Linked DNA regions of Mus musculus. The protein of the gene in region 1 binds, or shares a complex with, the protein of each later gene. Links are inferred from orthologs where the notes say so. Each region holds a gene or a part of one and is shown on either strand. Other genes may lie near its edges. The genes, in order: Pi4kb and Acbd3.

Region 1 (3,816 bases):
ACTGTGAAGAGACACAAAGGTATTGAGAGTGGCTCATCTTTCTCCAAACTAGAGAATAAAATTTTCTTCTCAACCTCTCTCCCTTAGTGTCGTGGATTGAAGGACATTAAATAAGACTTACTGACCTATTAAGAACCTGGAAGTTTTCTGTTTGAGACAGACTCATGTAGGCTAACCTTGAATTCCGGAGCCCTGTCTCCACATGTTCTAGGATTGTAGGTGTACACAACCACAAATAAAAGAACGAGGAAGTTTAAAAGGAATTTCAGGGCCTGGCAAAGGGCAGGAACTACACAGAGGTAGGAAAAAGGTAGAGAGGAAATTTATCACCTAAGTAGGGAGAGTAGGGACTATTAATATAAGTTTGAATAATAAAAAGATGGGATTTTAGGGGCAGAGAAAGCTACTTTAGAAAATGAAAATACTATTGGATGTGGTGGCATAAGCCTATATTCCCAGCAGCTGGAAGGCAGAGGCAGAAGGATCACAAGTTTGAGGTCAACCTTGATTACAGTAGAGTCAGAAGTCAGCCTGAGTTACATGAGACCCTGTCTTAAAAACAAAACAAGGGCTAGAGAGATGGCTCAGAGGCTAAGAGTACTGACTGCTCTTCCAAAGGTCCAATTCCCAGCAACCACATGGTGGCTCACAACCATCTGTAATAGGATCTGATGCCCTCTTCTTGTCTGTCTGAAAGACAGTGACAGTGTACACATATATATAAATCAATATTTAAAACAAACAAAACCAAAATGAAAGTACTGCTTATAATCCTAGTATTTGGGAAGCTGAGGCAGCAGTAATGAACACAAGAATAGTAGTGACACTGGCTGAGGGTGGAGAGGGTACAAGCAAGTTCCATTTGGCTACAAGTGAGATCCTTTCTAAAAACAATCAAAACCAAAATCAAGAGAAAGTTAGTTCAAGCTACCTCTATCCCTCAAAAAACCTACAAATATTATAGAGAATTGGATTGAATAGGTGAAGCCTCTTTGAGGTCACCAACCCAGGTGATCAATGTCTCAACATAGTATAGCCAGGTACATTGATGCACATCTGTAATTCTAGTATTCACACTGATGCATGAATTCATTATCATGAATTCAAGGCCAGCCTAGACTGCTTAATGAGTTCCAGGTAAACCTGAACTATAGTGACCCTGTCCCAAAGCAAGGGCTGGAGAAATGGCTCAGGGGCTAAGAGTAACTCCTGCTCTTGATGGGAATTTGGGTTCAGTTCCTAGCACCTATCAGGCTTCTTACAACTAACTCCAGTTCCAGGAGGATCTGATACTCTGTTCTGCCCTCCATGGACACTGTACACATTTGCTGTGCAGACAAGCATGCTAGGAAACCATCCATACACATAAATGAAAGTAAATGTTTTTCAAAATACAAAACTAAACCAAAATACTTGAGCACAGTGTAAATCCATCCATCCCAGATCATTTGGGAGGTTCTGATTTAAAGGAAAAATCCAAAGTGCGGCGGTGCATGGTACATGCACATCATCCTAGCCTTGGGAGGTGAAGGCAGGGCGATCAAGGGTACAAGCCCATCTTTGACCATAACTGATTCAAGGCCAGCCTGAATTACAAAATCCTAACTGAAATCACACCCATCAAAAAATGACATCCAGTGATGAGAACAGGGCAGATGCAGTTCCAGAAACAACCAACAGAGGTCCCCATAGAGCTGTTCTTCTCTGGAGAAAGGCAAACCAGTTTCATTTTCATCTTCCCATTCAGACCTGGGTAGGAAGCAGGTGCCCAGCAGAGCTCCCTGGAGTTGCACTGAGCCTTTCCTTTCAACACCCCTTTCTCTGTGTGTTTCGTTTTTTTTTTCTTTGCTGCTCTGTGCTTCCATTTCTTTACCTGCAGTTGTTTCAACACCTGGAAAGCCAGCAGCTCCTGGCGAAGGTCATCTCCACACTTGACAATGACTGAAAGGAGTCGCCAATTGGGAAGATGGCCATACGGGGAACCTTCTCTGATCCTCCTGTGAAGAAAAAAGTCACAGGATGATGCCAGGGTAAGGACTCAGACCACAGAGGAAGCCTGATGAGTGTTTAGATGTAGAAGGGCAATGGAAGAGGTGAGCACCTGAAGATACCTTGGAATATGAGGGAGGTACTGAGACCACTGTCTACCCTCTACCCTCCTCACCGCACTTTCTCCTGCCAGGGCTCTTTGAGGGCAACTGCAGAAGGGTCTTCAGGGTCTCGTTTGAAGGCTGTAGGAGTATGAGCCAGCTGTTCTGAAAGGCGCCGTCTAGCAGGAAGAAAATACACAATTTACTTGGAAGAGTTATCTCAGAGCTGCATGCATGCTTTGCCCACTTTCCCTTGCCACAGTTCCTAGATTCCTGGCAGATTCTTGGCTGGGAAAGCCAGAGAAGCAAGGATAATCAATGGTACAGTTTTGCTAACTTGGTAGTTTGTGATCATGTTAAAATGCAGAGAGCCTTGTATTCTTCATTCCTCTATTCCAATATTGATTCAGAATGGGTATGACTCCAGAATCTGCATGTATAACAAGATTTCCTCTCTGCCTTCAAAGGAAGGATTCCACTTGGGGGTCTCACTTTGATGACTGGTTTTGCTTTTCTTTTTTGTGATGCCGAGAACTGAACCCATGGTCTTTCACATGCTAGTCAAGTGCAACTTGGACAAACTCAAATGCCCTTTGGGGCATTTTCTTCTTTTTGGAACTCTCTTAAAATGTCATTTCTTTTTGTAGTAGCTCAAGCAATGTCTCAGCTGCACCTTCAGGGCCTCAAGTACTGAGCAAGGACAGAATAAGGAGATAAAGGAGAGGGACATAAAGCTGACAGCTGGTAACCAGACACAGGACAAAGAGGCAGAACGAAGAAGATGGAGATGAAGGACGAGGTGATTGGGCCATACCGGATGTCCCCTGCTGCAATGAACACAGGCTCCTTGCTCTCCTGGCTGGTGATGCTGTCCACCGAGAACTGGGAGATGTTGTCACAGCTGTTGGTGTGCACTTCAGGGAGCTGGGAAGAGCAGGTCAGAAATGCTAAACACAGATCTCCCTCTTGATCTCTGCTCACTTGCCACTAACTAACTACCTATGGCATGGTGGCCTACCACTCCACTCCAGCCTTCTCCCAAAGCCACCATGGTTCCATATCACTGAGGCCTTGAGCCATAGATCCCACAGCAGTGTTCTCAAAGTGTGAACTCATAGAATTCATGGAAAAGCATAGGAAGTGCAGATTCTCAGTTCTGACCATCAGCCCAAATTAGAACTACTGGGAATGAAATCTAGAAGCTGCATTTTTGTGAACTTTCTAGAATATTCCCAACACTCTCTAAGAATGGTCTCAAACTCCTCCTTTCCCAGCCTCCATGTCAGTGCAGGGACTACAGGTGGATCACCATACCCAGACAATTTCTTCTGGCTAAATCTCCACCTAATCTCCTCACTCTTATCTATAAAATATTCTGCCAGGCCCCAAGAAGTCTCTGTCCTTCCTTTTACAAAGTACTCTCAATTATACCTGCCATCTAATACACAGTAACTCGTGTATCTTCATTTTTCTTCTTCCAGCCCCACAGTGCGGCTTGAGTTTATTTTCATAGCTAACAGGGCTGAGTGAGTGCACTGCTTGTCGGGGCCATGCCAGCCTCTCTAGCCTCACTCACTCATCACCTCACACTACGCATCAGCACATATTAGTTTTTTTTCATTCCTATCATGGCCATGTTGCATTTTCTCTTCCTCAGTCTGAATGGTCTGAATGTTCTTTGTTCTGCTAATTAAACCATGCTTCCAGCCTCAGCAGAAATATCACT
Region 2 (3,816 bases), on another chromosome or scaffold:
TGGTCAAACAATACTGTTTATGTACCTGTCTACAGTTTGTCAGATGTATTTCTCTATGTTAACTTTAACATAAATAATGATAGTTGTTCAAAAGATAATTCAAGATGGGTATGGTGATATCTGCCTGCAATCCCAGTATTTAGGGCTGAATCAGGAGAACTGAATGTGAGGGCTACCTGGGCTGCCTAAGAATCTAGAGCCCACCCTGGGCTATATTATATTAGTAAGACCTGACTTAAAGAAAAGCAGTAAAGAGTGAGAGGAAGAAGAGAAATCTTCTATAAAGGATTTGTATTTTAAGCCCCATTAAAATGTAGTAAATCCACTAACAGTCTTTTTTTTTTTTCTTTTTCTTTTTCAGGGGAGGGGGGGTTGAGACTGGATTTCTCTGTGTAGCCCTGGCTGTCCTGAACTCACTCTGTAGACCAGGCTGGCCTCAAACTCAGAAATCCGCCTGCCTCTGCCTCCCCAGTACTGGGACTAAAGGCGTGCCCCACCACGCCTGGCTTCCACTAACAGTCTTAACCTGCTGTTTTTATGTTACTGGCATACTCTATGTAAAGCTTCAGTGCATTTCTGATGCTGGAAACTATATCTGCCAACACCAATTGTTTCCTTTAATTTTCATTTCTTTTAGTAAAAGATGGCAAAGCCTTTCATCCAACTTATGAAGAAAAACTGAAGTTCGTGGCACTGCATAAGCAAGTTCTTTTGGGCCCATATAACCCAGACACGTCCCCTGAGGTTGGATTCTTTGATGTGTTGGGGAATGATAGGAGGTAACAGTGTTTTCTTATTTGGGTACTTAATGACGTTAGAAAGAAGTAGAATGTCTATTTCTGAAGGTGTAAGTAGTTAATTTCTTAACTTAGCATAACAACTGAAACATTGATTTTGCTCATAGTTATAAATCCTGTTGTGGAAGAGGTTTACTTATCTAGCATAAGACAAGGACAATTTCACCTGACTCTTTCTAAATAATATTAAAAGCAGCCATTTATTTTTTTATATTTTTAAAAGATTAATGTATATGAGTACACACTGTAGCTGTACAGATGGTTGTGAGCCTTCATCTGGTTATTGGGAATTGAATTTAGGACCTCTGCTCGAGCTGGCCCAAAGATTTATTTATTATTATAAATGAGTACACCGTTGCTGTCTTCAGACACACCAGGAAAGGGTGTCAGATCTCATTACAGGTGGTTGTGAACCACCATGCGGTTGCTGGAATTTGAACTCAGGACCTTTGGAAGAGCAGTCAGTGCTCTTACCCACTGAGCCATCTCACCAGCCCCAATAGCAGCCATTTAAAATATGTGCTGCGGGGCCTGGAGAGATGCCTCAGCTGTTAAGAGCACCAGCTGTTCTTCCACGGGACCTGGGTTTGATTCTCAACAACCCCAACCATCTATAATTCCAGTCTCAGAGTAACTAATACCCTCTTATGTTCTCCAAGGGCACAGATAAACATGGAGGCAAAACACTCATGGACATAAAACCAAATAAAAAAATAAAATGCATACTATTGATTCCCTTATTGAGACATACAGAATTTTGCCAGAAAATGGAATATTTTTTTCCGTTCAGGTTAAAAATGTAAAGAAAGTAAAATATAGATTGCTTTTTAACAAGTGTGAATAAACAAAGTACACTTATATTTTGGATTGTTTATGGCATCTTATTTAATATATTAATGAAGGTTTGTTGAAACTTGAAATCTTGAACTTTTTGCTTCTAGTAAAAACAGTTCATTTTAATTGTAATTGAGGTTTTCATGTGTAGATTTAATTAAACAAGGTTCTCCTGCTGCTGCACGGAGAAGGTAACTGTTCTTTTTATTCTTTGCAGGAGAGAATGGGCAGCTCTGGGAAACATGTCCAAGGAGGATGCCATGGTAGAGTTTGTGAAGCTTCTAAATAAGTGTTGTCCTCTCCTCTCGGCATATGTTGCGTCCCACAGAATAGAGAAGGAAGAAGAAGAGAAAAGAAGGTGATGTCACAGGGCATGGTGGCACATAGTGCGGGCACTAAGCACTGATGCTTTGCTTTCTGGAGTGTGTGTTCTGGGTTAGAGAGCCTCCTTCTCCTGTTCTTCACTTCCAATTCTTACGGCAGTTTTTCAGAACTATCCATGTGAGTGGGTGGAGGAGGATGGGCTGCCTCCTCCTGCTTACCTGTAAAGTGACCCTGTGTCCCATCTGGAGCAGTATTCCTCCACCCTCCACCCCTGAGACAGAGTCTTGCTACTGTAGCCCGGGTTGGCCTCCTGAATGAATGCTGGGATTAAGCATCTGTACTCCCATGCCTGGCTACTTTAGTCCTACTATAATAAGACTCAACTGTACGTTCACCCACTCCTTCCCTCCTGCTCTGTGGTGTTGACTGTGGAGCCTAGATGGCGTATTAATTAGTTATCTACTCCAGGTTTGGAGTAGATGATACTGCTGAGCTCACTGTTAGTGTTTCTGAGGTTCTCCCAGCACCCATGTGGTGGCTCACAGGCTCCTGTCATTCCAGTCCAGAGGATCCAACACTCTTTCTTCTAGCTTCCAGGAGTGCCAGGAATGCAAATGGTTCACACACATATATACAGGCAAAACACCCATATACATAAAATAAAAGTTCAATTAGACAAAGAATAGCCTAAGCATGAGGGAATTATAGAAGCACTTCTCTGGATGGCGCAAGCCCTGTAATCCTGGTATTTGGAAAGCAGAGCCAGAAGATTGCTCAAAATTCAAGACCAGCCTGCTCTTCATAGCAAGTTCCAGGCTAACCAGACCTGCACAGTCTAAAACAAACAAACCCAATGACATAAATTACATTTCATTGATAAGTAATATGTTTTATATCCCAATGAAAATACTTTTTGGTTTGGTTTGGTTTGGTTTTTTGAGACAGGGTTTCTCTGTGTAGCCCTGGCTGTCCTGGAACTCACTTTGTAGACCAGGCTGGTCTTGAACTCAGAAATCTGCTTGCCTCTGCCTCCCGAGTGCTGGGACTAAAGGCGTGCGCCACCACCGCCCATGAAAATACTTTTAATTGTATTTATTTTCCTTACATGAGTGTTTTGCTTACATGTATGTCTTTGTATGTTGTGTGTACATTGTTTTCAGAAGCCAGACAGGGTTGGTTTACCTGGGACTGGAGTTGCGGACGGTTGTGAGCCACTGTACCGTGCGGAGAATCAAACTTGGGTTCTGGAAGAGCAGCCTGTGCTCTTAACCACTGAGCCATCTCTCAAACCCCCAATTCGAGTCTTTTTAAGAAAAAAATGTATTCCTAGGTTTAAGTATGTGTATGTTTGTATGTGTGTGGGGGGTGGCGTGTGTACACGTGAGTCAAGGTGTCCTCAGAAGACAGAAAAGGGTATCAGGGCCTCTGGAGACTGAATTCTGCTCTCAGAAGGTCAGTACGTGCTCTTACTGCAGAGCTCTCTCCCACCCTCCCTGCCCTATCCTTTTTTCTTACTATTTTTTGTCTGGTTAGTTTTTTTGGTTTTGGTTTTGTTTTCCCCATTATTTATTCACTTTACATCCTACCATACTTCCATCTCCAACCCCATCCTGGTCCTCCCTCACACAGCTTTTTTGGTTTGGTTTTTTTCAAGCCAAGAGTTTCTCTGTGTAGCCCTGGCTGTCCTGGAACTTGCTGTATAGATTGGTTTCGAACTCAAGAGATCTGCCTGTCTCTACCCCTGAATGCTGGGATTAAAGGTGTACTTGGCTCCCCCGCCCCCCTTTTTTAAAGACAGGGTCTCACTGTATACCACCCTGCTTCTGCCTTCCTAGTTCTGAGAACCATGCCAGGCTAAGAC

What was found.
Region 2: the proteins of Pi4kb (region 1) and Acbd3 are in contact, whole or in part, in an NMR structure (PDB 2N73), measured with the Homo sapiens proteins. The link is inferred for Mus musculus from reciprocal best matches to the Homo sapiens genes PI4KB and ACBD3. Residues at the interface, in NP_001317650.1 of Homo sapiens: Val37, Gly38, Val42, Ile43, Asp44, Pro45, Val47, Ala48, Gln49, Lys50, Ala51, Cys52, Glu54, Val55, Leu56, Val59, Lys60, His63; in NP_073572.2 of Homo sapiens: Gln245, Ile246, Ala249, Leu250, Gln253, Thr254, Gln257, Phe258, Tyr261, Gln265, Tyr266, Leu276, Leu280, Gln283, His284, Gln287, Tyr288, Gln291, Leu292, Val295.

Annotation. Positions count from the first base shown.
Region 1 is NC_000069.6:94,995,033-94,998,848, reverse strand, and holds part of Pi4kb (phosphatidylinositol 4-kinase beta), read right to left. Parts: exon of another isoform or gene 3,015-3,816; coding exon 2,905-3,014; exon of another isoform or gene 2,738-2,904; intron 2,270-2,737; coding exon 2,165-2,269; intron 2,031-2,164; exon of another isoform or gene 1,998-2,030; coding exon 1,874-1,997; intron 20-1,873; exon of another isoform or gene 2-19; coding exon 1-1. UniProt on the Homo sapiens protein: Phosphorylates phosphatidylinositol (PI) in the first committed step in the production of the second messenger inositol-1,4,5,-trisphosphate (PIP). May regulate Golgi disintegration/reorganization during mitosis, possibly via its phosphorylation.
Region 2 is NC_000067.6:180,732,529-180,736,344, forward strand, and holds part of Acbd3 (Golgi resident protein GCP60), read left to right. Parts: intron 1-637; coding exon 638-779; intron 780-1,848; coding exon 1,849-1,989; intron 1,990-3,816. UniProt on the Homo sapiens protein: Involved in the maintenance of Golgi structure by interacting with giantin, affecting protein transport between the endoplasmic reticulum and Golgi. Involved in hormone-induced steroid biosynthesis in testicular Leydig cells.